Linked DNA regions of Oreochromis niloticus. The protein of the gene in region 2 interacts with the protein of the main gene of each other region in a pairwise test. Links are inferred from orthologs where the notes say so. Each region holds a gene or a part of one and is shown on either strand. Other genes may lie near its edges. The genes, in order: prkra, lyar and bend7.

Region 1 (9,951 bases), on a different chromosome or scaffold from region 2:
CTGAGCCTGTCAAGTCCTTCTTTTGACCCATTTTGCCAAAGGAAAGGAAGTTGCCTAATAATTATGCACACCTGATATAGGGTGTTGATGTCATTAGACCACACCCCTTCTCATTGCAGAGATGCACATCACCTAATATGCTTAACTGGTAGTAGGCTTTCGAGCCTATACAGCTTGGAGTAAGACAACATGCATGAAGAGGATGATGTGGACAAAATACTCATTTGCCTAATAATTCTGCACTCCCTGTAATTCTAAGAAGCTTGACAGTCAATATTTGGTATGATCACCTTTAACGCATCTTTCTTCAGCACAGCCTAAACTCTTGTCAAGCTTTCTTGTCATTTCTATAAGTAGTCTTCAGGAATAGTAAAAGATTTCTGACAGATATTCAGAGCTCTTCTTTGGGTGTTGCTGCCAGATGTATTATTGTAATTGCTGAAAAATAAAGTGGTTGCCAGTACGATGCCCATCCAGATGGTACTGCTGGGTGGATCAAAATCTGATGGTTGACAAGATCCCCAACACCACTGGCTGAAATGCAGCTCCAAGCCATGACAGAGTCCCCACTGTATTTTTCTGATGGCTGTAGACACTCACCATGCCTCTGTCATGGCCTTCTCTATACATAGTGATGAAAATTTAAAGCAAATATTGTTCATATGTTTGGGGGGGGGGGTTCCGGCCTTAAGTTTCCTCAAATTTTATAAGAACACACTGCACACCAGTCTGAGATACTCGAAGTTTTTAGCTAACAGGATTTTGGAATCACCCAAAATTGGTCCTTTCCTATATTATCTGTTAAGTGTAGCCACAAAACTGGTTCATTTTTTGAGTTATGTAGCTTTTTATTGCTTGAATGATTCATAGGTCAGTGTTAGGTGGCTTAAAAAAACAAGAATCTTCTGAAAGTGATGACATACAAGGACTGAACTGAGTGAAAGAGCAGCCAATGTTTAAAAAGACAAATAACTTTGAATGACCTTCAGAAAGACTGAGGAACTACTGCTTAAAACCATCTTAAAAAATTCAGGAAAGTCTGACTCCTTGATATTAATCTATACACAAGGAGTGCATAGTCATGGCTTTTCCACAACACTCCATAACCAATCCTTTGACAGATGCCACTATAACAAGATAATCAGCATTATTTCTATAATTCCAGTTACTGTTTTGACTTCAGTGTTTAAACAAATGAAAATGGTAAAAGATTCCTGTCAAAATCTTAAACATTTGTGTTTTATGCTATAACAGCCAGTCTATAAAATGTCCAAAATGATTCAAAATGCAGACAGATTGAGTTGTTAAAGTTCCACAACACTGGCACGGTTTTGACTGAAACTAATTTGGGATGCAATTAATTTTTTTCATTGCTCATTAATCTAATTATAGCCTTGACGACTTACCCAGAAAATGAACAAAAAATTATCAGAGCTTTGCTGTTGCCAACTGTATTTGGCAGCACAAAGTCCGCTTGCTGTTCAAAGAGGCAAATATTCATTATTTGCGAACCTCTGAGGAGTACAACTTTTATTTCCAACCAGTAATTTAAATGATTAAGCTCTACTTACATGACTCCAGCGTCTATGTTCATAGCTTTTAGAGCAGCCTCTGCAGCCTGGTGTTTAGCAGCCTTTTTACTTGGACCTTGACCTGAAAAAAAAAAAGACCAATCAGTTGCCTGTGTTATACAATATCAAAACAGCAATAATAATAAACCTAACTGAAAGCCACAGTACCCTAAATCAAATGTAAAGTGTGAGAGGCTAGTGGGAAGAACACAAGGACTTAAACTTTAAAGCCTTTTTTCCCTAAACCATAGGCTTGGTAGAAGATGTTAAATACAGACACTAAGTCATTTCTCATCACCTCAACATGAGGAGCATTCCAACTGCTTCTCACCCTTTTTCTCTGGACCTGCACTTTTCTATGCCTGAAGTGTGATATCTTTGTTAAAAAACAAGGGATACAGAGGGTAAATTTAAACACTTTGCTTCAGCAACAGAAGAGAAATTCAACAAAGTGACAAAGAACATGTTGCAGCCTGAGGTACTCTCTCTGAATTACCACAGTGCAATTTTCAACTCAAATAAAAGCCCTCATTCGGTGACAGCCAGCTATCAACACAGCAGGGGTGACAGCGTAGCCTACCTATGCCGCTTACGTCACCGACTGTCACGCTGAAGACAAAGCTGGGCTGGTGAGCCTCTCCTTCAGCCCTCTCCATCACGTACACAGGAAGGTTTCCGCTTTTCGTGCCATATTCATGCAGGATCTGTATCGGCGTCTTCCCCGAGTTGCTTTTCTGTGATTCGTTTGTATCCAAGCTGCACGTAGTCAACACAAGGACACACAAATTATGAGCTATGACTGTAATAACTCACTCGTTAAATTTGAATGACAGAATAACAAATGACAACAGGATGACTGATTGTGCTCTTAAACTGCTAATAAAATGTAAGAAAAAAGTGAGGATGGTAAAGTAAATGGAGCAGTTCCTTTCAGAGTAATGCAGTCTAGTGAGTCTATTAAAGTTTTAATTGCATCTATTATGTCTCAGAATACACTCTATTGTGATTCCTGTGATATGCCACTTCATTTTCCATATTAGAGCCCGACTTATATATCAGCCGGTATTAGGTATTTGCAGTGCTGATACAGTGTATCATAAAATAGCCATTTATTGGCTTTTACAAACAGCTAATAAATGAACATTTTAATAAATAAATAAAAGAGTAAAGAACAGACAGTAGAAACATCTTTCAACTATAGTATGAGTGTTGATGTTACATAGTTTTGCAACTTTCACCTTCACTTTGTTGTGTTGGCAACACAAAAACCCCAAATACAACAAACAGCGGAACCAAGCAGTCTTGAAGAGCAAAAACAAGTAATCCACGACTTGATGCAGCAAAAAAACTTTCTATTAAAAGTGAATTGTCATATAATCTTAGTAAGAACAATAAATAACAAATAAATACCAACACTTAACAAATGTTAGAAATCTGTTCATGTCTTGAGTCTGAAAGAAAAAAAACCCAAATATGCTGTCCAGTATATTGTTGTTGACTTTTTTAAAATCACCAAATATTGGCATCCTATATCAGTCAAGCTCAATCGGAGAAGACTTATAGATGTAGTGAAAGAGGACATACAGATGGTTGCTGTGGCAGGAGGCAGGAGATGAGCTGTGGAGACCCTTTAAGGGAGCAGCTGAAAGAAGAAGATGATGATTCTGGCACGCATTGCTAAAAATTAAAAGTTCTCTTTTTCTCTGCTTGCACACACTATGTACAGCAGAGGTTTTCCCTATGTGCCACATAAATTAACAAAGCAGCTTTGTAGACTATATACATTTAAAACTGTGAGTGTCACTCTCTTTGTAGACTGTAATGAAGGTATTGGGCCTATGGAGATTCACGTCATGGATGTGCAGCCAACAAACCTGCAGCAACTGACTGTGCGATGCTGTCATGTCAGTATGGAGCAACAATCTCATTCACCACCTTGTTGAATGAGGGAGCACTGAAGGCAAAAGGTACCATTCATTCCCTACCATCAGCATCATCGCCCCACGTTTTTAACCCTGAAAGTTATACTTCTACCGCCATCTTTGTTATGACTGAATTCTCCCATTGATTACAGCTCTAGGGTATTTGGCTACCACCTCTTTCTCTCTGATGATAATGTCTCCTTTTCATACAGAGCGGATAGCTGTGGTGAATCACTGCAGACATTTTTTTTTTTTATTTACCGCCATTTAATTTAAAAGATTAGTGAAAGAAACAACACGTAAATACAACTTAAGACCAAATACTTGGCACGACTTCTGCTGTAGCTTCTAGCTAATATACCATAATATGCACTTTAATTTAACTACATTATTATTTGACATAAACTAGACATGTAAGCGGTTTGGTTGATTGTGCACCGTTACCTCTTATCACACGACTACTATCAATAAAACACTGACCTCGCATCCTCGCTTTTCACTGCTGGTGATTGAGACATGTTTGCAGCTCACGGTTCCTCACAGGTCTGATTACAGACTCTGTTCCGGCCAAAACAACTTTTAAACACGACGATGAGATATTTTTCTGGACATCTAGCAATGATTCTGTGATGAACATTAAGTGGCCTGGCAACGCTAGCAACTCCTCACTGTACTTTCGCCGGGGAAATCGCCAGTTTAACATTATATCAACATCCGGATCAACGCGGGTCAAACGCAGGTCAGAATGTGTGAGCTAAAGCGTTTACTGCCACCTACCGGTGAGTCGTGCCTATTCAACTGGACGCGACAGTGTCCCCGTAAAAACATGTTTTAGATTATTTTTTAATAAAAAAATTCAAAAGATTAAATTGTAAAAAAAAAAAAAAAAAAAAAAAAAAAAAAAAGTTATATTAGCTTATCTTTAAACATTTACAGTTACTATTTCTACTGCTACTACTACTACTACTAGTGTTACTACTATAATAATGATAATAATAATAATAATAATGATAATAATAATAATAGCTGGCATTGACAAAAAGAACACAAAGAACAGCAAGGCTTGTTTAAACAGCAATATAAATCAAAACAACAGGAAACTAGGTATCATAGATTGTGAATGTAAATGATAACATTTTCTGCTGGCTATAGAGTAGAGGTGGTTATGGTCTGTCCCCATAGTAAGAGTATGATGCAATTAAATCTAATGCAGTTGCAATGGTAGCACTGTAATTTTCCAGTTGCTGGTTTTTTCTTTTAGTTTTTCATTTGATGTTTATTTTATTGTTCGTTGATGTTGTTCGGCAAGAAAAAAGCCAGTTCAAAAGAACAATCCTGCTTTCCATGTGGGTACTCCAGAAGGCTGTTTGTCAAGTGTTTAGTAGATGAATCCTTAAATTAAATTTACTGGGGTAAATAACAAGTGCTTTGGGTGGAGAAGGATAAGGAAATGCATTCCAGACAACCTCATCCCATTCTTGAAACATGGTGGTGATGCGGTCATTGTTTGGGGTCTGTTTTGCTGCATATGGGCCAGGACAGCTCACCATCACTGAAAGAGCAATGAATTACATGCTACGCCTCCGAATTCTAAAGGAAAATGTCGGGAAATTTGTCTGAACTAAATCTCAACTGAAAGCGGGCTGTGCAAAGCAACGGCCCTAACCAATCAAGTGGTTCTACAAAAGGATGGTCATAGAGAAATTAAGTTATTATATTTAAACCAAGAGAAATCTCATGAAAGAGCCCGAAGTAAGGAAACAAACCAATGTCCAAAGCTTTAAGACAACTGAGCTTTAAGCTTTAAGCTTAAGGTTGTGTTAGACTGATATATGACTGTCTACTGTTTTCCTAATTATGTTAGACTGATATTTGTTACATTTGTTTAGTGTAAAATGCCACATTTGGACAATCAGAACAAAGGCTAATTTCACAATTATTCATAATTTTGGAAATAATATTCATTGGTGTATATTTCTTAGACCATATTTTTCTCATATATGTATTTAATGTAGTTTTATATGCATAGTGTATTGTGGTTTTATATAACTGAATGCTGTAAATCTTGATGTGCGTTGTGGATGTGAAACACCAACGAGGGACAAGGGTTGGAAATTAGGGCGCATTTTGATTCACCACTGAAACACATGAAATTGCCTCTAGAAGCCAAAGTTGGTCAGGCCATACTGTTAGTTATGGTTGAATTTCATTCGATCCTGACCTCAACTCACCAGCTTGCCTGTATAGATATTATAGATGTACTTCTTGCTGACTTACTAAAGCAGGCAGCTTTTTTAATGTCAGGGGGTTGGTAAGTAGTTAGTAACCAGATTAAACCCATTTGCTTTTGTATTTTAAGTCCTTTTATAACTTTTACCCTGCAGTACTTTAAACTGGCCGATCATTTCAATGAGCAGAGAACACACTATTTCAGTTATAGTCTACAGCTTGCTTAAATTGCTGTCATTCAAACACTCTGTCCATCCAGAAAGAGCTCCAGTGTAGGCTGAAAAGTTATGCAAATTCATAGTTACATTTAATTTTACTCATATAATACACACCTAACACCCTAAAGGCAGTGCAGGGCAGGGAGACTGATCTGGGTGTCTCTCAGTCGGACACAAGCAAATCAAAGCAGTTCAGGGGATTTGTATGGAGTCGACCTGAAGGTGGAGACAGAGGTTCAAGTGCTGGGTTTCTGCAGCTCAGACATGGTCGATAACAACAGGAAAGTCGAATCAAACCTACTAAAAACCCACAGCCATGACTAGTACGAAAGTCATTCTTCGGTTTGTGTCATACTTTGTTTTGCCTTGTTTGTCTTTGTGCTCCTCCTTTCTGCTGATCCCTGAGAATTTATTTTTGGAGGGGCAGACTTTGTTATATTTTGTTGTAATTCAGCCACCAAAGTTTTGACTTATCCTTTTACCCCCAAAAAATATAAAAAAATAAAAATCATGCACTCACATAGCAGCTTTCGCAGTGTGTTCCCTGGTCACGTCTCTGTAGAAGTTGCACTGGCAGTCCCTGTCAGACCTAAACATCTATCACTTTCAGCATGTGAGCTGCTCGGCTCAAAGGAAATTACTGAATGCTAAGTAAGAATGTTCTCATGTTTGTGGCACTTTCAGTATATGGTTCAGTGTCTCCTGCTGTAGTCTGGTTCGATAAACAAGACTCAGAGTTAAAGTTGGTGTGCTGATCACTCCATTAGTAAGTGAAAAGTGTTGCAATACGCATAAATCTCTGTCCTATGGATGGATTGTTGAAACCATTTGGAGACAAAACAAGTGAGTGAAGTCTGTCTAAACTGCAAGAGAGGAACTCTTGAATGTCTGTGAGCTATGTACAGTGAGTTCTATGTTGCCATGGTAATGTTACCTGTAACATTTTTCATAACAAAAACTTCTGCAAGAAGTCGAGCATTTGGAGGGAGAAGCAACAAACAATGCAGTAAAAGGAGAAGGTGGTTGACAAGTGACTGGTTGTTACAGGGAAATATGGTTTCAACAGATTATCAGTATGTGGAAAATACTTGTGTGCTGAGGTGTTGCAGCGATAGCACGGACGTTTAGGCAACCTGTCAGAGCAGGTACAGGAACAGAGTGAGGCCTTTCGCTCTGAGTCACACATCCCGTAGGTGTAGCTTTGTCACATTTTGCTTTTAATTGTTGCGATTTTTGTTGTAGAAATTTGGACTCTTGATTATTAGACAAAGTCAAACAAGGCTAAATGTCAAAAGGTTCATTTTAAATCTTAACACATTACTGACTACAAAATATACACAGTATACATCTTAAGCGTTAATGATTGCGGGAAAGGCAGCTGTGACTCACCGTCATGAGGTGGATGGTTCACTAAGGAAGGTGACGTGACAAAGTTTCTTGTGTAAGACAAGTCTTTCTCCCTGACTGCGTTTTTGTCTTGTAAGGATGGCTGTGTGTTACAATTACAATGCTTGTTGACAAAACATTTTTATAAAGAAACTGAGAAGCATTTTTTAGTAGAGTCTGTATTTTGATGTAATGCAGTAGTCGTTGATTTTCACTTTTCACTTACAACAGTTAATTAGGAATATAACAAAACGGGGTAAAGTTTGTTTGTTTTTTTTTTAAAAGAATGAACAATATTAATTACTCTGGTTACATTTCAATCAATTCTGGCACGGCTCCATATGGAGCTGTGCCAGCAGGCTGGCTGCCAACAGACAAGACATCCAATTGCAGACTGCAAGGCTTCATTCATTAGCATCAATGGAGAATCTCTATGGCACTTAGAGAACGTTGTTAGAATCCAACGCTAACAGCAGAATTAACATTAAACTCTAAAAACATCCTGATCGAGAGCATGTTAGCATAAGTTACCATGGTGACTTAGTGAGGTTATCAAGAGCCACATTTATTAAGAACATTAATCCTGATTTGTATCACAGAGGACTAAAATACAAAATATTCTACACAAAACTGCATTAAAAAAATATTTTTTTGATAAAAAAAATTCCTGCATTTCAACAAATTTGTCACATGGAAAAAGGATGTTGCCTATATAATATCTAGATGACAATTAGTAACAGCAGTCACGCACATTCAGTAGAATTTCGACTGAAAAATAAACATTTGAACATAAACTGCTGCATGTTGCATTTAATTCTTGATGCATCCACAGCTCTGAAATAACGTAAAAAAAATCAATTTGACAATGCTTTGTGAATAGATGGAGGAGGGACGTTGGGAACCGGAAAGACCACTTTCTTCCTGAGTGAGAAGGCTGGCTGAGGCATCTGCTTTCTTTGACCATATCGATCACTCTTCTGGCTAACATCTGCATTCACTTTTGTCAGGATTGACATGAGATCACACTCCCTAGGAAAAACAAGATACAGGGTGAGATAATGTACAGTGTTTTTGTTTAAAAAAAAAAAAAAAAAGCATTCTTCTTCATTTAAAAAAATAATAATGTAATTTTATTATATTTGATATTTTGCTTCACTAACCTGGGCACCATCTGAACAAGGTTTTGGCACAAAGACTGAATAAACCAGGAGCCATTGGTTCTCTCTCTGAAGGAAGCATAAAAAGGAACTGTGGCCATTCCCAGCAGAAAATCTGCACTATGTGGGATACCCTCTTCAGCCTTTATAGCATCAGTCCAACAAAAGCTGTATGCAGAGCTATCAGATTCAATGCAGACAGCTTGCTGCTCTCTGTTTCCCTGGCAGGCCTGGATGAAAAACAGCTTAGGCTTGCCCACTAAAGATGGGCAATTTAATCCATTGAAGGGGTCAGTCAAATCACTGATCTTGACAGTGGATCCATCCACACCGTACACGCTGCCTTCCACACCATGACTCAGAACACAGCACACTACGCAGTCAAACTGACGGTGGTCTCTTTTGCTAAGCGTCCTGAACACAGAGAGCATCTTGTTCGCGTCACAGTCATGGTGGTTCTCCACTTCAAAGCCGAGCCACTGAAACACACTCTGCAGACATTCTGGAAGAAACAGACAATCCAAAGATGATGCAGGACCACAAACATGCAGCGTATATTGACTGTCAAAATTTGCTTACTTTGATCCACTTCAGTTCCGTTACGTTTATTTAGTTGGCTGGAGTTACTGAAGTCGTAGTTGTTAACAATTAAACAGATACCCCTCTTTTCAGACGTCATAGGATATGTTCCCAAGCCCTACAGACATAAAATGACACAGATTACAGGGAAGACATGATTCAGTGCATTACTTGTAAACTTCTATTTGATACACAAGTTAAACTCTGAAATGAAAACTAAGTATACAAAGGGAAGAATGATCTCCCTGGAGGGCTCCAGCTCAAATTAAATGTAGTGCCAGGGCCCTAACCAGTGATTACGTTTTAAGCATGTCGCATATATAAGAAAAAAAATACACACACCTCATCTTGTGTGTTTGTAGATGGAGATATCGGCATGGTGAAGGACTCCTTTTCTTTGTTTTCTTGAGTTGATATAGCATCAGTTGTCATAACAGGACAGGTGACTGCAAAGAAGGGCAATTATTGCGGGAGGAACAATTATATTTCAATGTTTTAAACGTCTGATATTTCACAAAAAGCTAAACAAGAGTTTAGCTATTGTTTGAGTCACAACTGCTCGTCTCAGTGCTTAACCCATTCGATTCAGTTTAATTTATACAGTGCTATGTCAAAACAACAGTTGCCTCAAGGTGCTTTAAATTCTAAGGTAAAAGGTTTTGCAACAGTGGGAAGAAAAAACTCCTTTAACAGGAAAAAACCTCCAGCAGATTTAGGCTCAGGGAGGGGCGGCCATCTGCCAAAACCGGTTGTGGGTGAGGGGATGAAGATACCAAAGACATGCTGTGGAAGAGAGACACTGTTTATCTGACTGACGCTCATGTTTTATCTCCACCATAAGAGGAATGCAGGAAAGTCGAATTCAAAGATCATTAAAAATGATTTAAAA
Region 2 (10,265 bases):
TTAAAACTATGTTTCTTACAGCCATTTTTTGTATTGGTGATATTTAGGAAATCATACGAGTAAATGGGGATTCTAAATATCACATTAAAGTTTGCATCCAAATATCGTGTCAAATTAGATCTCTGATCTCACGTTCACATATCACATCTGCATTTCTTTCATGTTGACCCTAAAATGTGTTGATTTAACTGCACTAAAAGTAGTTAAAGTGCATTTACAAAGTATAGAAAATACAATACTAGCAGTTGAATATTATTTTTCTTTTTTGTGCATTTTGCTGTTTTTTGTTTTCAAAAATGGGAACTATTTAACTAAGCAGTGTCGAGCTCCACCTAACAGTTTGGCTGCTAGGAAGTTTCTAGTCCAGACTTTTTTTTATTCCAACCTGAGAATAAATTTGATTTTCTATTACTGAAATATTGCCGAAAGTTATGTTAAATAACTGTGCCTGTTGTAGACTCTTAAAAATATTTTTAAAAATAAATTGTGACATTATAACTTACCACAGGTGGCACAGCTATGAGGTTTTTCCCCAGCATGCCGGGCCTTGTGCTTCAGAAGCTTTCTGTGCGTGTTGAAGGACTTTCCACACTGGTCACAGGTGAACGTCTTGTCTGTCGCGTGAGTCCTTTTGTGCTCCTTTAGATTGCTCAAGTTGTTAAATCCTGAACAATAAACACGGAACAAGAAATGCATGTCTCAATAAAAGCAGCTCAAGCTACTATTAAACATCAGCAGGAGCTCACTTTAGCAGTAAGACATTACAAATTCCCAGATTGTTGTATTATCAAGTGAGTGACGGAGATTATTGCTCGTGCTGAGAGATGCCACAAACCTCGGCCACATATGTCACACAGATGTGGCTTCTCTCCTGTGTGCACCACTTTATGACGTTGGACATCCCCTGATGCAGTAAAGCTGGAAAACACAGATGAATAATAAAGGACAGTAAAGAAATCATCAGTTTTGATATCTCTATATCTCTATATCTATATATGGTAAGTGGAAAATATCATATCATGTATTTATTTGATATTATAGTATATTATGTGCTACACAACAACTATTTAATCTATTTTCTTTCACTTTGTTAATTACTCACAGCAGTTCTTCATTAGCAGGTTGTTATGCAACTACAATAATTTTTGTGTGAAGTTGAACAACTGATAGAATAATATTATCAAGTCTGGGAAAACTTTGGAAGCACTTTTTGTCTTAGTAAAGGCAAACTCAGTTAAACCAAGAAAATGCTTAAAGTAGAGACAGGGTGATGGCACAAGAAGACAAATGAAAATCAATCCAAATAACTTTACCTTTTCCCGCACAGCTCACAGATGTATGGTTTTTCCCCAGAATGACGCCGCAAATGTGTCTGTAAATTTCCAGCCTGTAAGACAGAATCTGTCAGACATCTGAGTTTAATGTGAACATCTAAGAATAACTATTAAATTAGAAGAGCACAAAAGAAAATACCTGTGAGAAGTTTCTTCCACAAACGTTGCACTGAAAGGGCTTCTCGCCTATAACAGAACAGATCAGTTTATGCCTAAGAGCATTATAATTAATTCCTATAATTCAACGTTAAATGTGTGATTCTAGAGCTGTTAAAATCAGGAAATACCGGTATGCGAGCGCTTGTGCAGCTCCAGGTTGCTCGGGTGTTTGAAGATCTTCCCACACACCTCACAGCAGTACTGCTTGTGTCCTGATTGCTGAGCTGGCTCCGGCACAGGCTTTAGATTTTGCTCCTCTTCATTCACAGGTGGAGGACTGGGAAGCTGTGCATCTGCAGCTGTGTCTGTAACCTCATCTCTGGCTGCAGTGCTATCTTCTACAGGAGCTTCTGGTGCTTGAACCTGGACCACTGTCTCTCCTTGAAGGCTCACCTTTGAACAGCTAAGGACAGGTTCAATAACTGATTCAGTGCACATCTCCTCCAAAGCCTTCTGAGACCGAAGATAGTTATATTTCTTCAGGTAGACGGCCTTCTTTGGGCGCACTGGCTTGTTCATTGAGGAATCTGGGTTAGGAGTGTTTAGATTATCTGAGGGTGTGAGAGAAGAGTCAGGGTTCCTGTCCACACTCACTGATATGGAAGACTGATTAGGCTGAACTGTGTTTCCTGAGTTCACAGGGGTGCTGTTGCCTGCCTGGCTTATCGCAAGTTGACACTGCTGCTCTTCCACCACTGAAGGGCCCTGGTTTGAATTTGCACTATTGCTCTGTATTGCACTTTGTTTAAAGTACTGCTTACTGTAGAAGTTGCGGAGCTTGTAACCATGAGCTAGCTGCTTTTCTACTGGTGCCTGAGAGCTGCTACCCATTTCACAGTGTGAGCTGCTGTTAGGCACAGAGATTGGCATCCTTCTGGTGTGGTCCACGTCACTGCTGAAGCCAGGCCTCTGGGATTCAGAGGGACAGGGCAGGTCAACATCGTTAGGAAGACTGCTTCCAAGCAGGCAGTCATGCTCTGAACCCAACATGCCTGAGAGAGAAAAGGAAGGCATTTCCACTGGCGGAGGACAGGGCTTGAGGAAAGCATTGCACATGCTCTGCACATTCGGAACCTGCAAACACTGTGCGATATCTAGGAGTGCTTGCACATTATCTTGGTTAATATCAAGATGGGAGGTATACATGTAGTCCAATATCTGGCCAATGCCACTGACATCCTGGATAACTAGGTTGAACACGTCATTCTTCTGACTGGGGGAATTTTGGAACAAGGACCTGAAAAGATCAGAGTAATACTTAATGCATCCGGAAACCTTGAAGCAACTCTGTATGATTAACGTTTATTACAAAACAGATAATGGCACCTGAAATAGGAGCTGAAGGCGGCCAGGACGTTTTTGTGGGCTTTGAAGCAAACACCTTTGACAACCAGCATGCAGTCACAGAGCAGACCCTGAATCCTCTGCTCCTGAAGCTGCTGGAGGAGGTAGGAGCTGTGGCTGGACAAACTGTCCATGGTTACTCAGCGGCTCCACCACTCACTTCCAAAGTCTTCATCAAAAAGCGAGCTAAGGGGACCCAAGTTAAAAACAGACAACAACAACGAGTGATTAGCCAGAGCTGTTATTCCTTTTATTTCTCCTGCCAGCGAGCCAGGAAGCGCTAACAGCAGTTTTGAACAGACCGTATTGACATATGGGATTCAACAGCCGCGCAGAATCCAGTGTGCCTCTGCAGCAAGACCACCCATGCAAAAATTGGACACAAACTGCTAAGCTTAGCTACAAAGCTACGCTAGCCACCCATGTTATTAAGCGGTGTAAATCGATTGAGCACAAAATCCCGAATGAATTACTTTTAAAATCGAGAACTGCTCCTCGGTACTGTGACTTATATATTATCTTAGCCCATAAAGTTGGGGGTCAAACTTACATTAAAGGATTCCAACTTTTATTTGGATGATAGGTCACTTTTCGACAGGCATGACAAACGTCACTTCCTGGTGTAGCTTCAATTTCGAGTTGCTAAACGCTAATAAATATCGTTAACCATTATACAGATATACCATGTTAAATAATGGAACGGCTAAAGTCACTGTAAGGAGAGGACATGCTAAAAGTAACCACGTGGTTCATACTTATTTAAAAAAGTTACACGAGGATCGTTTCCACCCTGCTCGGAACTTTTCTTTGGTTGCATTTGCACAGGGAAGACTAATAATGTAGCGACCAAACGGTCCGGTGTTTTGTTTTGTTTTGTTTTGTTTTTTAGCAAAATCAACATACAAACAAAATGCACCATATATTATACATTCAGAAAATACAAATTTCAACCTTTGTACAAAGGTTAAAAGAAGACGGGGTCATAAAAGTTAACAGAGTATTAACTCACTAAATCAAAATCTTCCAAAAAGGAAACAAAAAATGCAGCCTTTTTCTTTTTAACTAAAGTCAAAGATTTAAACAACAGGTTTAGGTCGTTTTTCCAGTGAAATAAGGTTGGTTTGGTCTTAAAAAACGACATTTATGTATATATTGTATACACAAGATTAATAAAACATTAACACCATAATTGACTTTCTTTTCCTTCAGAAACATTCCAAACAATATCATATTTAAGGTACATGGGGTAATTTGAATCCCACTCGATTGAAGCCAGGTATGAAAATCCAACCAAAAGATTTGTATAAAATTGCACAAAAACAAATAGATGGTGCAAATCCTTCTCTTCTGTTTCACAAAATACACAATTAATAGTTTCTACCTTAAATCTATCACCAAGGAGCGTATTTGTTGGGTTAATTTTATTTAAAATTTTGAATTGGACTTCTTTCCCTTTAGGAGGGATAGGGAAGGGGATATAATTAGTTCTTATTCTTTCAATTTCTTCCTTTTGGAAATCTTTTAATATGTAATTACGTCTAAATAAATTTGGAGAATAAAGACTCCTTAAGGAAGATCTTAGAAACTTATTATTGCATTTAACATCACAAAACTGAATACCATCTATATATAACTACCTTAACTTGGGGGAGATGTCAGAATATATTATATCACTTACGACTATGTTTTTAAGTGACAATGGAATTTTACAACCCGATTAAATTTACTTTAAGAACATTGGATATTAAATTTTTGGCAAAAATCGTAGTGTCCTAGAGCATGTCCCTCCTCATCTACAAATTTTCAGTAAACACTTAATCTGGCTGATGAATCTTCACGTGACACCTGATAATGATATTCTGTCTAAGGAACCTGCCATGCTACACAGTGTGGTAATAATTATGGGCAAAGATAAGATAAGATAACCTTTATTAGTTCCACACGTGGGAAATTTGTTGTACCATATCCATAAGTGTAAATGGCACAAGTGTAAATGGCAAAACAAAAGACCTTCGCTAAGTGAGTTGAAGATTGAATTAATAATACAGACTTAGTAATATGTCACGTGAAGATTCGTCAGCCAGATTAAGTGTTTACTGACAATTGACAGTGATGGCGGACATCATCATCACTATTCCAATCAATCCTCTCCACACAGACAATCATAAACACACTCGACTATCACTAAATCAAATTTAACGCATACACAAACACGATTTGTAATGACGCTAGTTCAGTTTACAACAGGGCTCATTCGCTCGGTCAGCAAGTGGCAGTATCCTTGTACACTGGGGAGTAAACTTCCATTAAACGAAACAGGTGAAGAAGAGAACATCTGCACATGCGAGGTACGGATCGGGGAGTCCTGATCCGTAACTGTTTTTTTTTTTCTCGTTTTTGTCTACATTATATTAAAATGTTTCATTACTGCAAAAATTTTAAGAGAAACTTATTATTGTTAACATCTTAACAGATATTCTGACCCCGTAAAATGCTTCGAGCGGAAGTAGTGGCCTTTCGCACATGCGTGGTACCGATCGTGTTTCCGGTACAGATTGGGTAGTGGTACCCTAATGTGTGTTTGGAAAAGTTTGTAATATAACGAAGCTGCTGAACGTTTGCGCTCAAATGTGATTTTGAGGAAACAGATTTAATCCGTGGGCTCACACCGTTTTGACCTCCACTTTTCCCAGGAGATGGTTTGTTTTTGTAGTGTTTTACAGTTTTAGGGGACCAGGGTCTGCCGCCGTTCTTTGGCTAACGTTAGCTCGTATCAGCGCTGTCACATGCGTTCAGCTTTCGCATGAGAGTTTAACCGACTTCGGTTTATAGGTCAGTACCGCAGAGTGTAGGCCGGTTCAGTTTTGACCGTTATCGCCGCACTCTAGCCAAACAGGAGAGTCTTTGAATATGGTGTTTTTCACCTGCAACGCTTGTGGGGAGTCCCTAAAAAAAGCTCAGGTTGATAAACATGTAAATATCTGCCGGGGCTGCCAGGTCCTGTCCTGCATCGACTGTGGAAAAGACTTCTGGTAATTAACGACTGTTCACTGCTACCCCAGGCTAACAGGCGCTAGATCAGGCTCGGTGCTAACGATTTGTGTGCATTTTTGTACTAGGGGCGATGACTACAAAACCCACATTAAATGCATCAGTGAAGATCAGAAGTATGGAGGCAAAGGCTACGAGGCGAAAACAAACAAAGGAGATGTGAAACAGCAGCAGTGGCTCCAGGTAAGATTCAGGGAAGGAAAAGAAAAGAAAAACTCTGCAAAGCTTTTGGATCACTTAGGAAAGCCAACTGTTCTACCTTTGTCCTTTTCCTGAAGAAAGTCCACGAAGCCATGAACAAACCTGGAGTCAGTGCAAAGCTAAGAGATGTCCTCCAGCAAGTCAGTACTTACGATAACGTACCTAGAAAGAAGGCCAAGTTTCAGGTTAGTATTACTTAAAACTGTACAAAGTAATCAGTTGTCATGTTAATGTTGATTTACTGTCACATTTTTCTTTTCCCATCAGAACTGGATGAAAAATAGTCTCAAAATACCAAACCCCAGTCTGCAGGAGGAAGTGTGGAATATACTTGCTGCAGCTGATAACGTAAGTTAGGCTTGTTAGTTCTCATGTTTTTTGTTTTTTCTGTGAATGTGTGCTTATTAAATTTGAATGTTACCAGGAAATGAATGGAAGCAAACTGCTCCTTTTAACATCAAGTATGCCATAAAAATAAAGAGTCTAGCATGTTTACAATAGCTGTGGTGATTGTCTTTAACTGCCACTGTCTGACAGGCTTCAGAGCCCCCACAGCCAGCTCGGCAGACAGCGGCTGAAGTCAAAGTGCACACTAATGGAAGAGAAGAGCCGAATGGCCACCCAAGTGTTGAGGAAGAGAAGAAGAAGAAAAAACTGAACAAACGGGAACGCAAAGAGGCCCGACAGCAGAAGAATGGGAAAGCTACAAAAGGTGCTGAAAATACAGTCGCACAAGAGCTGGAGGAAGAAATGGTGGGCAAAAAGAAAAAGGACAGAAAGAGAAAACAGCTCTCTGAAGAACCCAGGGATGATGAGAACAGCCATGGCACTGAAAATGAGACATCGAGCAAGAAAACAAAGGGTGAGTCAAGATTTCTGAAGTGCTAGACATTATCTGTTACTGTCATGGTTAAACTGAGTTTAGGTATTCTCTAACACTCAAGCATAGATTGAGGATGTTTACATCAGCAGCTTTGTGAAGTCTGGTCAGATTTATGTTTATTTTTTTGTTCTAAAGTGTGTGTGTATTTCATATTTATTAGATAACTCTGTTATCATCCTTTTCCAGTTGATGAAGAAATGGAGGATGCTGATGATCAAGAAGAGACTGAGGATCGAGCTGTTACTAAAGGTACGGTGGAGCTAGCAATGACTTGAGATTGCCCCGCTTTAATAAATGATTAGTCCGTGATTAGGCAGCAGAGGTCAGTGTTGCCTCTTTTGTTCAGAGTGAGAAAGTGACCCTTGGTGATTAGTGTCTGCACTGAAAGCTGATTTCTGTTTCTCATCAGGCAAATTTAATTGGAAGGGGAACATCAAGGCAGTACTGAGAGAGTCACCTGACCAGGAAATGTCAGTGAAGAAACTCAGAAAGAAGGTGAGCCATGAAGTGTTTTCATTGCTATATGAAATGAGGATGAAGTTGTTTATTTGTATATCAAACTCTTAAAGTTTCAAAACTCTATAATCTTTTATTAACACTAAAGTAAAAGCTTGCTCATGTTTTTCAGGTTTTGGCTGCCTACTATTCCTACACTGGTGATAGGAATTTTAAGAAGGAGGAAGAAGTGCTAGCACTTTTCAACAACAAGATCACCAAAAATCCAAAGCTTAGAGTTTTGAAAGATAGAGTTAGACTTGTAAAGTAGACTCATTCATCTTCTCCTTTTGACATATTGCATAGATTTTTAAAATTTCAAAGCCATCATTGTCTTATTGTTGTCTGTCATCTTACATTGGACTTCCTTTTTTTAAAAATACAGTTGACATGATGTTGAAGATAAAACATTTTTACCACTGATTTAAGTGTCTGGTTCCTGTTTGACTTCCAAAATTTAGTACTGTTTAATGTATGACAATTGTGATAGATGGCTGCTCTGTTACGCATTCCAAGCTCACGGTAAGGCTGGGAAATGGCACCTTATCTGTGGGATTGGATGTTAGAGTGGGGGAAGGGTAACGGGAGAGGTGCACCTGAGGTGAATTAGACTCTCACACGGGACGAAGTTAATGCACATTCCTCGGCACCCCGAACGGGGTTCACTTGGCCAGGGACACAGAAGCCCCATAGAAGCAAGACGCCTGGTGTCAGCCTCAGGTGAAGTTTTAATGCTGTCTGATTTTGCACGACTAGAATGAGCAGTCTCTTTACCCTGTACGCACACGCAGACACACAGACACAGACGCACACACAAACAGGAGGAAATCTGCCCAGCTTTATGAAGCTCAGCTAATCCCAGCAGGTTTAACACTGATGCTCATTCATCACACTGCTTACCTTGTAATTGTATATTACATACTTTGGGCTTTAGTCAAGCTGTAACTGAAGTTTGGTAGTATTAAAATGATGTTTTCTAGTCCACCTGGGCTCAGCAGAGCTTAATTCTGTTGATTTAATCCAGACCCCCCAGAATACTGAAACTACATCTTCACTGCAAAACAAATGCATTTATTCAGGCCTTAGTCTGCTGTATATGATTAATAACATGCCGTTGGTATCAAAGTGAAATTATGAAACGTACAGCTCTGTGTAAAATGTTATTTATATTTCACTTCCAAAGAGCCAGACTTTCTCATAATTTGTTTTTTAAAGACTTATTTTCAGTCTAGTTGGTATAGCTCTCCATTTTCTTTCACTCATCTATGAATTATTCAAGCATAAAAAAGCTACCTTACTCGAGGAATTGGCCGATGTTGTGCCTGCATAGGCAACTTACAAAAGGAACTGATTTTTATATTGTGTCTTTGGGGACTTTGTAATCAGCAGCCTGTCCAAAAAAAACCCCCAATATAATCCATTCCTGGTTATGGAATCTACAAAATGCAGAGAATAACAAGGTTTCAAAGACAAAATAACATTTTTGCACAAATAAAAGAATGAAAAGTTGGCATAGATTGTCATGGTGTGCGGTGTGTCTGAAAGATTTTAATATACTGGAATAGAAAAGAAAATGGCATCTGGCCACCCTTAAGAATTAGAAGAAAAAAAACAGCAAAGACCTGACACAAGATCAAAAAGATGTAAAAGATGTAGTTTTTGTTGAAACCTCATCACAAATGGTCACTAAACACAGTGGAGGCTCTGTCATGATTTGGGGCTCCATTTCACCCAGTTTGGAGATCTTGTCAAAATTATTGGATTTAAGAACACAGAATAGTACCATCAGATTTTGATCCACCATGCAGTACCATCTGGAAAGTATCTGATTGGCAAAGGTTTCTTTTTGCAGCATGAAAATGATCCAAAACACAGTGCCAATGCAGTAAAAGCATACCTGGAAAGAAAAAAACACACAGTGAAACACTATCAGTCATGGATTGGCTTCTCCAGATAGATTGGGTGGCTCAAGAGTTTTCCACAGCACTAAGGCTTTTTTTTTAACTTATTTATTTTTGGTTTATAAAATTGTGATATAAGTGTTACATCTGTATGATTTTCAGCACTGTTACACAGTTTTATTTCAGTGAGGTATTTGAATATATTTTAATAAGAGGGGTCATATTTTTTTTTCATTTTCCCTAAAGATGAGGACATGCAGGAGTTGTGCATTTATGTGATTTAAATAATTAGAATTTTAGCAATATGTCACTCCAATAGTCATATATTACAGAAATAATAAAAACATTCCAACAAAAAGCTGGACTCTGTGGCATTTATAGCTGCTAAACTGCATTTATGAATTGGTGATAGACAAACCATAAAGTATTAAAAAAAAATTCTGTCTCAAGTCTCAACAGAAAAAATTTAGGGCTCAGAATTACAAGCAACAATAACAGAAGTGTCAGATTGCTGCCACAGCTATGTAAATGTATACATTCACATTCAAGATTAGGTTTGGAGTAAAGCCAGCGACTATGCATTCTGCAAATGTTATGAGGGTTGGCATCAGATGTACCCCATCAGACCACCCTCCCCTTAATCCTCAGTTACACTAGACGTGCATTTCTTTCCAGACCAGTGGTCCAGTTTGGTTGTTGCTCCACCTTTCCAGCTGCTCTTTAATAAAAGACAGGTACAAAATATTTTTTATAGATATAGATCTTTTAATACGACAGAAAATTTCTGAATGGCTCATTCCTCTTTGCCAAGTTCTATTTTTATACGTGTAAAAATATAAGAAAAACCAGTCGTATCTGTCACTTCAGTTAAAAGGTTGAAGAGACTGAAAATACTTT
Region 3 (10,268 bases), on a different chromosome or scaffold from region 2:
AGAGGATACACATGCCTGTGTGTAAAACCATATGAACATTTCTAAAATCTTTTAAAAACCTTTAAAATCTTTTCAAGTTGTAATCTTTAAAGTCTAAGGGTGTTTTCCCACCAGTACTATTTAGCTTGCTTGAATCAAATTATGATTTGCTTTCTCACTGGGTGTGGTTCTTTTGTGCAGATGTGAACACAACGATTGGACTCGGGTACAGAAAAAAATCCAACCTGACCAAATTACAAGGCGCACAGTGCAAGTTTGAGCTAAATACTTTCCCGTAACCAGGTACGCTTTGTATTCTGGGATATGTCATAGCACCATACATGTGCAGAGTACACAAACTATAGCAGGTAGCTGTAAAATCAACCACAGGCCAACTACTCCAAAACACAGCACCTTCTTCCTGTACTTTTGTTGGCCATGCCCCAGACACAACTAAAATCAAACTGTATGAAAAAAGTTCAACTTCATCAACTGAATCAGATCAGACAAACCAAATTATAGACGTGTAAACACTCTGAAGCCTTGATTATATTTCCATATCTGTAAGTCAGCATGGGTCAGGGTAATGTAAATTTCCAAAGTGCTGACTCGTCAGTGAGGAATTCACATTTACATTATACTGCACCAATTATACACGCTGCACATGCAAGTAAAATAGGAATAACTACTCAGCCGTGATATCTAAAGCTGTTCATGTCTGTCTCAGCAACAGGTTATCATAAAAACATAAGTGTGTGTGTGTGTAACTCTGGCTCTAACCTGAATGTATTTTCTCTGCGTCTCGTCATTAAGAACGTGGGCCACGTGCTTGGAGAAGATCTTTTCTCGTCCGGTACGGGCGTGGATTCCCACCATAGTCACACCAATTGGCCAGGGGGCATTACCAATGGCCATCTGTAGATATGCATCATTTGCCTGAAAGACATTTAGGAAAGTTTATAATGGATGCAAAAATAACTTTGCAAAAATAACAACAGAGGCTACATGATATTATCATACCTTGACATATTCTCTCTCCAACATGAATTTTATGATGTCTGTGATTGACTCTTTGATGTCAGCTTGTAAGTTCTGTAAAAGATAATGATGAAAAGTAAATCCACACATGAAAGAACCACGCACTATAGTTTGTTTTGCTCCGGTCACATAAGTTACCTTCTTCCTGAGCTTCCTGAAGAGAGGCTTGAGGTAAGACTCGGTCTGCGAGTGTGTCGCACTGGCCAGCTTGCCCTGAACGCTGCGCTTCACGTGGTCCTCTCGGCTGTTCAGATCTTTGGCCCAAACGCCAAGAAGAAACTAGAGTCCAACAACAAATATTTTCTTTGAGGAAAATGTTTCCAAGAAATGCAGCGGTAACCAACACTAGACAAATATCCATTATTTGAACCACTTCAAAAAGAATAATGGTGCGAAAGGTTAAACTTTTTTAACTATGTAAACATATAAACAGCAGCAGGTATAGTAGTATGACTTTTTTAAATTTTTATAATTAATATTAACCCAAGAGCTCCCTGTAAACTAGGGGTGTCAAACGTAAGGCCCAGGGGCCAGAATCTGCCCCAAAAAACACACCAATTAGCCCCACTGGAAAGCTTTGGAAATTGTGAAGGGTATAAATTTGTGGAAATTTAACTTTAGTTTTACAATTTTTCCTATTGATCTAGACCTCCCCTAGAGTTAAGTAATAGATATACATTGAAATGAGAGAAAAGCTCCTGTTTTTCACCATCTAAAAAAACAAAACATTTTCTTTAAATTAATAAAAACTTTTATTAATAGAAACTCTTTTATAAATACTAGACAATCTGTTCCATAAGCTCACAGAACTTTTTCTACATTTATCATGTAGAAAAACTGAGATGCACTGTTCAAATGCTTCTTCTTTCCTTACATCAAGTCATCTCATAGACTACATATGTAGTTAAACGTCTTTACACTGAGAGAAAGGGGCTTTTCACTCGTCTGTCCCACTTAAGATCAAAGTGGGCTGTATGTGACTCACGGTGTGAAATACGTTTGACATCCTTGCTTTAGATCAAAAGGTCAAGCATGAAATTCTTACCCTCAAAAATTTAGCAATAACATCCTGGTCTCCATCATCATCACCTGTTCCAAGAGTTTTTCCAAGAGCCTAGGGGGGATAATTTCATTATTAACACAAAAACACCACCCACAAACATAAAATGATTGAAAAAAAACAAAAAAAACCCCAAACAAACTGTGCCCAAAAATTGATCTGACAAAAAAGAAAAGCTATTTAATAACTGGAGATTCATTCTTTCTCCTTGGACATTGTGCAATGTACCTCAAGTTCTTCTATTGTGGTGTTTTCTTCGTGCACTTTTAGGTCATGCTGTGTGTCCAATTCTCCTGACTCTGTTCCTCCAACAATCTCATTCAGGTACTGCTGGTCAATCTTGTCCATGGCGGCTTTCAGATCATTCCTCAAGCCCTTGGCACAGTTAAAGCAGCAAATATTATTAGTGTCACTAAAATAAATTCAATATGTCCTTAATACAATCAAGAACATTAGTAGTGACATACAATTTTCCAGAGTAGATGGAATAAATGTGAATTTCAACTGCATGTTTTTTCCAAAATCCAGTTAACTCTCAATCCTACCTTGTTTACTTCTGGGGCCAGAATCTCAATTTTCCGGAGCCTCTGGAAGGCATCATAATCGGACTCGCCAAACAATCGGATCGGTTCCCCTCGTTCTCTAAGTCGTCGAATAACCTACACAAACACAGTGATGCAAATCAAATATTTATACACTTGGTGGTAAGCAAAAGAAATGTTATGATATTTAAAGGAAAATGAATTAAAGGAAAGTGCTGATGTTTTATACTGACTCACCTCCTGTCGTGAAAGTGTCATTGGGAGCTTCTCTTCTGTGAGCTCCAGTTCCAAGACTGGATTAGTTGAAGTGGATGGCTCATCTTCCTCTTTCTTCTCAATCTTATGGACAAAATTGAGGGAATAGAAATACGCCAGCATTATTGGAAGAACATTAGGGCAATTTGGAGGATCTGAATTTAATCTAATCTTCCTTGGCCAAATGGCAAATAAAACTACTACAAAAAGAGGGGGGGGGGCATTGGCAATTTCTTCATGAGCTGAGACCTCATGACCAAAGAGACAAAAAGGCATCAACAAAATAAGCAGAACTGCAAACATTCACACCACTCCCTTACCTGCAACTCTTCAAGAAAGACAAGTAGCACAATAAGTTACCAAAAAAAAGGAAAGAATATAACAAATAGTACATCAACATGATAACTTTCGTGGCTGTAACATCTTATGTGTGATTTAGGCTTCTGCGGGAAATCTACATCCTAACTAACGACGCAACCGGAAACCCCTGTTAACCCTAGCCGTTGCGGGCTGTGCTGACCTGCTGTGTAGTTACATCAGATTACATGCAAGGTTACAGCATAGGGTTAAAAAGTGTTTTTGGTTACATTGTAAGTAACAAGGTCGATTTCCCAAAGAAGTCTAAATCACCCATCAGGCGTAATCACAGGAAAAGATACTCTGTATTCTTTGCACAAAGAAACTCAAAATATACCCAAATCATGCTTTAAAAGGCACATGCATGCCAGCACTCTTAGATTGTGCTTTTTATACCACAATCTAAAAGAACAACCAGCAAATGGTGACAAAAAGCCTTCTGAGCAAACAACAGCTCTTTCGCTTTAAATAAAACATAGTACGCTGCCCGTGTACAAAGAGAATGGCTTAATGAGCCAGGTTTTTAAGCTTTACACAAAGTATAACATAAATACAATCTGCCACTGAGCAGCTGTTAAAATGTCACGGCAAACAAGTTGCACACCATAATTTGCTTAAATATTAAAAGCTTCTGTCACAAATTATCTGCAAAAATAAGAAGCAGAGCTTGATAACAAAAATACTTTTCCATTTCAGTACATTATCCCATGCTGAAATCAACACCGTGGCAGTGTCCCACTTTTGCTTTGAAGCTTCCTTTCCGTGTTCCTTTGCTTTCTGACAAGTGGCTGTAATATGTAACTAGCCTGGCATAAGGCAAAGCTGTGATAATGACTGTGGCACATATAAATATTTCATTTATATGACATTTAAACTATGTTGATAATTTGGAAATGACACAGTTTACCATCCACAGAACGCAGGTGAGTTTAAATCAAGCTTTAAAATGCTTTCATGTTATTGACTAAAATTTTAAAATCACCTTGAAAAGTCTAAATTTATCCAGCAGAAGTGAGCTGGTGAATATTTCCATTTGTGTACAGCTGATATCCAATTATTATACACTAAGTTACTACTAGGTGAGTCCAGGCATCCTGTACCAAAATATCCTCGTGCTTGTGTGGTTATTTGTAACAACCAGAAAATGTGCCCTCCGCTACGTCTTTTCTGTTTTCATCCCAACAGATTTCAGTAAGAACTTCCAGAAAGGATGCCTAGGAAGCATGAGCGTTTAGGACACAGTGTGTTTTATCCTTTTATCATGCATCCTGTTGGCTACTTTCACTGTGCAATGCCATACCTGGCTCTCAGGAGTCTCTCTCTGAACCTACAGATGCAGGCAGCAGAGGCAAATTGGGGAAAAACACCACAGTAAACACAAATACAGACACTGTTGTACACCTGACCATCAACACCTGTCCTTATCTTTTTTGCTGGCAGAAAGTTTACTCGTTATTTTGTGTCACACTAACCAAGCCAGACAGTGAATTAAATAAGTCTGAGTGTCTCAGGAAAATCGAGAGAGTGAGAAGCAGAGTGATGTTGACATGAACCTTGTATCCGCATCTTCTGAAGTAATCTTCTCTTTCCTTCTGTGAGAGCTCAGCCCTTTTAAAGAATCTTTTGGAGTCCTGAAAAGAAAAGAAAAAAGCAGGTAAAATGAATTTATGCTATCATATGATATCAATATCATATATTATTTGGTGGTGGTGATTGGCGGGGGTATTGTTGATACAGTGGTACAGGTAGGACGTTATGCAATAGATAGCATGAGTTTGAGATGAATTTGAGCTACGTGTACCTAATGAACTGCCATGTGCCCCTAGCTCTCCCTAGCTTACTTATGTTTGCATAAAAAAATTATATGTTAGGATGAGTTTAAACGGCATAAATACCAGAATTTCTGCTTAAATCGTGATACTATAAAGGTAATGTTCTGTTACGTAGCAGCAATTACAATTCGTAAACTACAGCTCTGTGTTTAGCTTAATCCTAAAGTTAGCTTTATATTCTACTGCAGATGGAGTTCAGTACTTTATAGATAAAGCTATCGATATGGATGAAAAACGATCATTCTAGAAATACTTAACTAGCCTGGTTAAACGACGTGTTAGCAACATAGCCAAGCTAACAATAACAAGCAACTTCGTCGAATACTTACTTCAACAAGATTTTTTTCTTCGAGGAGTTTCCTCTTTCTTGCGATCTCAGCTTTAAGTATATCCATCTGAAAGGTTTATTCTAACAAAAAACGGCACATTAAGGTCAGTCTGCGTTTACCCAAACGTTAGAAACACGATTGCCTAAACCGGAAGATAACAAGAAGCTTTTCAGAATTTTCAAAATAATTGTTTCAAAATAAAAGCATTAGAACACAATGTAACCTGTGTCTAATGAATCTGTTTTTCAGTGAATTTAAGCAGACACCAAAAGAATAAGGTCAAACAGATAGAAGAAAATAGATACTCCTTTATATATTATTTTCTGGATATGTATGCACACTAGTTAGCCAAACATTGGGCTAACCCAACAATTAAACCACTGAGTTGTGGTTATCGCAACACCATGTTCTGCTGTGAAACATTTGGATCCTAGACTCTTACCTTGATAATTGCAACCCACCAAAACAGACCAACACCATTTCCAAAACACTACACAGTAGCTAATATTTTGAGGACAATGACGGGGCCCAGTCAAGCTCCAAGCCCGAAAACCTCTAAACTCACCACTGTGATCCCACTGTGTCAAGCATCAAAATGGACCGAAACAGGTTCAATCCACAGATGCCCCAAGATCCTAAAAACTGCTGCCAAACAGGGAAATCTGGAAAAAGGGTCAACACTTAGGGGTGTTTGTTTTACGTATCTGGCAGTTATGCTCTATACTCCAAGAAGGGAAGATGAAAAATCCTCACTCAATCTTTTTTAAATCCTCCAACATCTTTTCTAGATTGGTGATAAAGAAAATTATAGCGAAAGAGACTAAATGGCCTTCACTTGTAATAGGTGACTCAATAGTACTTCCTATATTTTCTGCCAGTGACTCTAGAAGTACACAGTTGTTATGACTGGAGGAGGAAGCATGATCCCTTTAATGCACTACAATAGATTTACAAAGATATCAACCACGGTAAACACCAAATACCTGGTAACTGAGTTATTTGTTTCTCCTTTCAGTCAAACAACGTTTGGCTTTTGGCTCTTTTTTTTCATCTACAGTAGCCTGTAAAATGAAGTCCTTTTAAAAAAATCTCTAAAGTTTGTTTTTCTGTTTCAATGCTGTTTGTGTTTAATACCGGTTCACAGTTTGGACACCACTAGCAAATGTCTGACTCGACCTTTCAGATGAGAACATACCATCAGGTGGCGCAAAGGGATATGTGACGATTTTTTAATATTAAAGTCATTAATTTATTTACATGACGGAAGCCAAGAAGCAGCATCATGCTGGCAAAGGGAATGGACTGTAGAATACAACTGAACGGGTCACTTTGAGCTTAACACTGCGAATATTTGCGAAGAGATGAGAGAATCTGTAGCGCAAGCAGGAAAGAAATTTAACTGATTAATAAGGCAGACGGACAGTGATTCCGCTGAGTGTATCCTAGTCAGTGATTTCGTCCTCCCGAAGAGCGAATATTTTTCCACTGCACGACTTACTGGATATTCCACCTGAAGATGGAGTTTGGAGAAAGGAAGAGGAGAAGGAAGTCGCAGAGCTTTAAACTGGTCACGGATGGAGGTAAGCTGCTGAATGAATGCAAGACCTTGCAAGACGCGCGTCTGTGTCTGGGTGTTTGTCTGGCGCTGTGCGCCAGCAGAGACGACTCTGTAAACAAAAGCGATAGCCGCGACAATGCCCAGTCTGTGCTTCGGTTTTAACCAGCAGCTAACTCTAGGGATTCACATCTTGCATGTAAAAGAAAATAAAAGAAACATCCTGGACATCAGTCTGAACGCGTCTCATTCCGGGTAGATTTTTAAGACTGAATTAAGTAAGCAAATTGAATAAAATGTGAAAATATATTGCGCACTCTGAGCTCGTAACAAGGAGCTTCAACTGTGCACTTTTTGCTTAAGCTGTAAGGAACACACCACCTCTCTTGACTACACTACTTCATACCACCTACAGGTGGTGGTTTTTGCATGGGATGGGGTGGGGGTGAGGTGGAGGGTTCTGCTTTGGCAGGCATCACAGCTCATTAGCCCGCACAAGCTTCAACCTTAGAAGGCAAAAGGCCGCAATATCATTCTATGACATCTGTCACCAAGGTTTTGTTGCGTTTCTTTACAGCTGTGCTTCATAACGAAACCATTCTTTTTTTTTTTTTCTTTGCAGATTTCGAGCCTTCATATGTGATTAACTCCAGCTCCAAAGATGCCAATGGGGAGCCAAAGGATGGTGTTATGTCTGATGGTATGTGGGATTCAGAGAATGAATTTTGATTATATATCATACAAGATGTCGGTAATTACATGAGCACCATTCTCTCTTAATGTAGTTTGGCTGGAGGATGAGGGCATGGAGATCAAAAGACAAATCACAGGAATGATGAGGCTTCTGAGCGATAAGACCAGCAGAGTATACCAGCGTGCTGGTACAGAGCAGGATAGCTTAATAAAGGAGCCCCAGGAAAAGCCTCTGAACTGGGTAAATCAGCCTGCACTTTTATCTCTGGTGTCAGAGGACCACCAGAGCAACAGCTGGAACTCTGCAGAGGACCCAGGGCCTTCACCTTCATCCATATCCATCCCAGTCCCAAACGGCCCAGGCTGCGGCCAGTACAGCACACGCTCCAGAGCCCTCAGGATTCTCAACAGCACAAAGGATTTAATCAAAGTGAATGAAACTAATGGTAGGATATGCATGTTTGAAAGGAGAAAACTACTAAACAAACCTTAAGTTATTTGAAGAATAGTGAATTTCATTAAATATTGAGTGCTGAACACCAGAAGTGGCTTACACCTTTGTTGTTACATTAAAGCATGTTTGCACCTGTGTGCATATGTTAGAGTGAACGAGCGCTAACAAATGCATCCCTCATTTCCCAGCAGATGTAGTTCCTCCTACTGTGCCAGAAACCCCCTGCTGTATGTGTAACTGTAAGGGCACCTTGCAGGCTATTTTGCAGGAACTACGTGCCATGAGGAGGTTGATGCAGACTCAAAAAGGTTAGTAAATGAATACCAATACACACCCTAAAATAAAGAAATAAAACACAATATAATGTTTTTCTGCCTTTTAATAGCATCTTTAGAAAGGCAGGAAAGGGCAGCACCACCATCTCAACCTCGCCTAGGTGCAGGACCCAGTCCTCGCCACAGACCTCGAAAGAGGAGGCCAATCTATAGGATGACTCCGTTATCCGTGTTTAGCACCAGAAGAGCTGGTCTTGCTCCTCTGGATGCATCACTGCTAAAAGCTGCACCTATGGAATCTGTAAAGAGGCGAGAATGTGAGAAACAAGACTCATCTACACCCAACAATCATCCCATCTCCTCTGACATTCCTGTGCCGCCACCTCAGACCAACCCAGTGACGATCAACAACACCCCTCCTCTCCTGAACCAACTAAGGGAATCACAAGCATTAGAGGTAATCTGTACCTTAGTGTGGATGTACATATGCAGCAACATGTGTGCTTACCAAGCCTCATTTGCATGCTTAATTTGATTCAGGTACACTGCACCTGTCTTATGAATTTGAACGTGTATGTGTATTTGCATGTAAAAATAATTTGCAGCCTAAACTTTGCTTCTTTTGTGAAGCTCCATGCCTAAAAAAAAGTTTAAGTACCTTGATTTTTCCTTGTTTTTTGCCTAATGAGACATAAACCTTTGTGCAAACATTGCGGTTTATTTTACAGCACATCTATGATTCGAGCTAATGCTAGAAATGAAGATAACGTCTTCTTGCTTTTTCTTTCTAAAAACTCATTTATATTTCAACTGGTGATATTTATTTAATCCTTTACAATTAACACTCTGTGTTGCTTGACTCCTTCACAGTCTGAGGTGCGTCTTGCAGAGGATTATGACGTGTTTATCTCTAAGGCCCAGCTAGACTCCATTCTGGTCAACTATACACGCTCAGGCAGCCTGCTGTTCCGGAAACTGGTGCACGTCTATGATTTTTAAAAGCATTTTCTCCTGCTCTGATTATTTTATAATCGTGTGAAATGTCAACAAAGAACAAAAAATGCTGCTTGGTCAAGAGCTGTGCTGTGTGTTTAGGTGTGTGCCTTCTTTGATGACGCCACGCTGGCTAACTCCTTGCCAAATGGCAAAAGGAAGAGAGGGCTAAATGATAACCGTAAGGGCTTGGACCAGAACATTGTGGGTGCCATTAAAGGTAGGGCAGAGAAAGACAAACTAAAGTGTAACTACATTTCTGAGCAAACATTAATGTAACTATGGTGTGTGTCCAGTTTTTACAGAGAAATACTGCACTGAACACAAAATAGAGAAGTTGCCTGGACCACGAGACTGGGTTCAGATCCTTCAAGATCAGATCAAACTTGCAAGGAGGAGGCTGAAAAGAGGTTCTGCTGCTAAATCATTTAAATCATTTTAATATTTTCCCTTGATTAATGTGCTAGAGGAAGCCCATTCCTTTAACAGTACTTATAAGCCAGCTCATTTCAAGGCTAAAGAAAAGGCTGTCTGTCAATCTATGTTGTCTTTGGCTCTTCAGATGCTGTAGAAGCAGAAGACATCTCAAATGGACCATCCACAAGTATTAAACTCATTATTATGATTTTTACACTTAAGGTGTCTGCCACACGTGGGCACACACACAGACACATACATTAATTCAGTTGTCTGTTTTGACCATTTTCTGGTAGCTGGTTCCCTTCATGTCAGCCCTCCATCTTACAAAATCTTTCCATCAGCCCCCCTCTGAGTACACAATGGCTTTACCTCTCCCCACATCATTGTCACAGCATACACACACACACACACTCAAGCTGGTGTTGCCAGCTCGCTCATTGGCTCATCGGTCTTTGTCATGCTGTCACAGTGACTTTTGACATTTTC

Evidence for each region.
Region 1: the proteins of lyar (region 2) and prkra interact in binary tests that used the Homo sapiens proteins (3 or more experiments, as listed by UniProt). The two-hybrid records come from large-scale screens. The link is inferred for Oreochromis niloticus from reciprocal best matches to the Homo sapiens genes LYAR and PRKRA.
Region 3: the proteins of lyar (region 2) and bend7 interact in binary tests that used the Homo sapiens proteins (3 or more experiments, as listed by UniProt). The two-hybrid records come from large-scale screens. The link is inferred for Oreochromis niloticus from reciprocal best matches to the Homo sapiens genes LYAR and BEND7.

The regions. Positions count from the first base shown.
Region 1 is NC_031987.2:17,162,062-17,172,012, forward strand, and holds the start of prkra (interferon-inducible double-stranded RNA-dependent protein kinase activator A homolog), read right to left. Parts: upstream 4,204-9,951; 5' UTR 4,012-4,203; coding exon of another isoform or gene 3,981-4,011; coding exon 3,974-3,980; intron 3,214-3,973; coding exon 3,156-3,213; intron 2,328-3,155; coding exon 2,152-2,327; intron 1,654-2,151; coding exon 1,572-1,653; intron 1-1,571. Other genes in the region: casp10 (caspase-8), read right to left, coding at 8,181-8,355, 8,487-8,985, 9,063-9,180, 9,405-9,508. UniProt on the Homo sapiens protein: Activates EIF2AK2/PKR in the absence of double-stranded RNA (dsRNA), leading to phosphorylation of EIF2S1/EFI2-alpha and inhibition of translation and induction of apoptosis.
Region 2 is NC_031970.2:28,788,070-28,798,334, reverse strand, and holds lyar (cell growth-regulating nucleolar protein), read left to right. Parts: upstream 1-5,340; 5' UTR 5,341-5,747; coding exon 5,748-5,869; intron 5,870-5,956; coding exon 5,957-6,071; intron 6,072-6,166; coding exon 6,167-6,274; intron 6,275-6,356; coding exon 6,357-6,437; intron 6,438-6,626; coding exon 6,627-6,951; intron 6,952-7,158; coding exon 7,159-7,221; intron 7,222-7,381; coding exon 7,382-7,467; intron 7,468-7,600; coding exon 7,601-7,738; 3' UTR 7,739-7,890; downstream 7,891-10,265. Other genes in the region: zbtb49 (zinc finger and BTB domain-containing protein 49), read right to left, coding at 504-665, 836-918, 1,314-1,387, 1,474-1,520, 1,622-2,730, 2,820-2,971. UniProt on the Homo sapiens protein: Plays a role in the maintenance of the appropriate processing of 47S/45S pre-rRNA to 32S/30S pre-rRNAs and their subsequent processing to produce 18S and 28S rRNAs. Also acts at the level of transcription regulation.
Region 3 is NC_031972.2:55,930,842-55,941,109, reverse strand, and holds the start of bend7 (BEN domain-containing protein 7), read left to right. Parts: upstream 1-5,687; 5' UTR 5,688-6,908; coding exon 6,909-6,972; intron 6,973-7,569; coding exon 7,570-7,647; intron 7,648-7,732; coding exon 7,733-8,086; intron 8,087-8,282; coding exon 8,283-8,402; intron 8,403-8,479; coding exon 8,480-8,826; intron 8,827-9,239; coding exon 9,240-9,347; intron 9,348-9,464; coding exon 9,465-9,582; intron 9,583-9,658; coding exon 9,659-9,772; intron 9,773-9,924; coding exon 9,925-9,966; intron 9,967-10,268. Other genes in the region: prpf18 (pre-mRNA-splicing factor 18), read right to left, coding at 760-915, 1,000-1,071, 1,156-1,296, 2,063-2,131, 2,306-2,452, 2,623-2,736, 2,857-2,958, 4,532-4,558 and 2 more.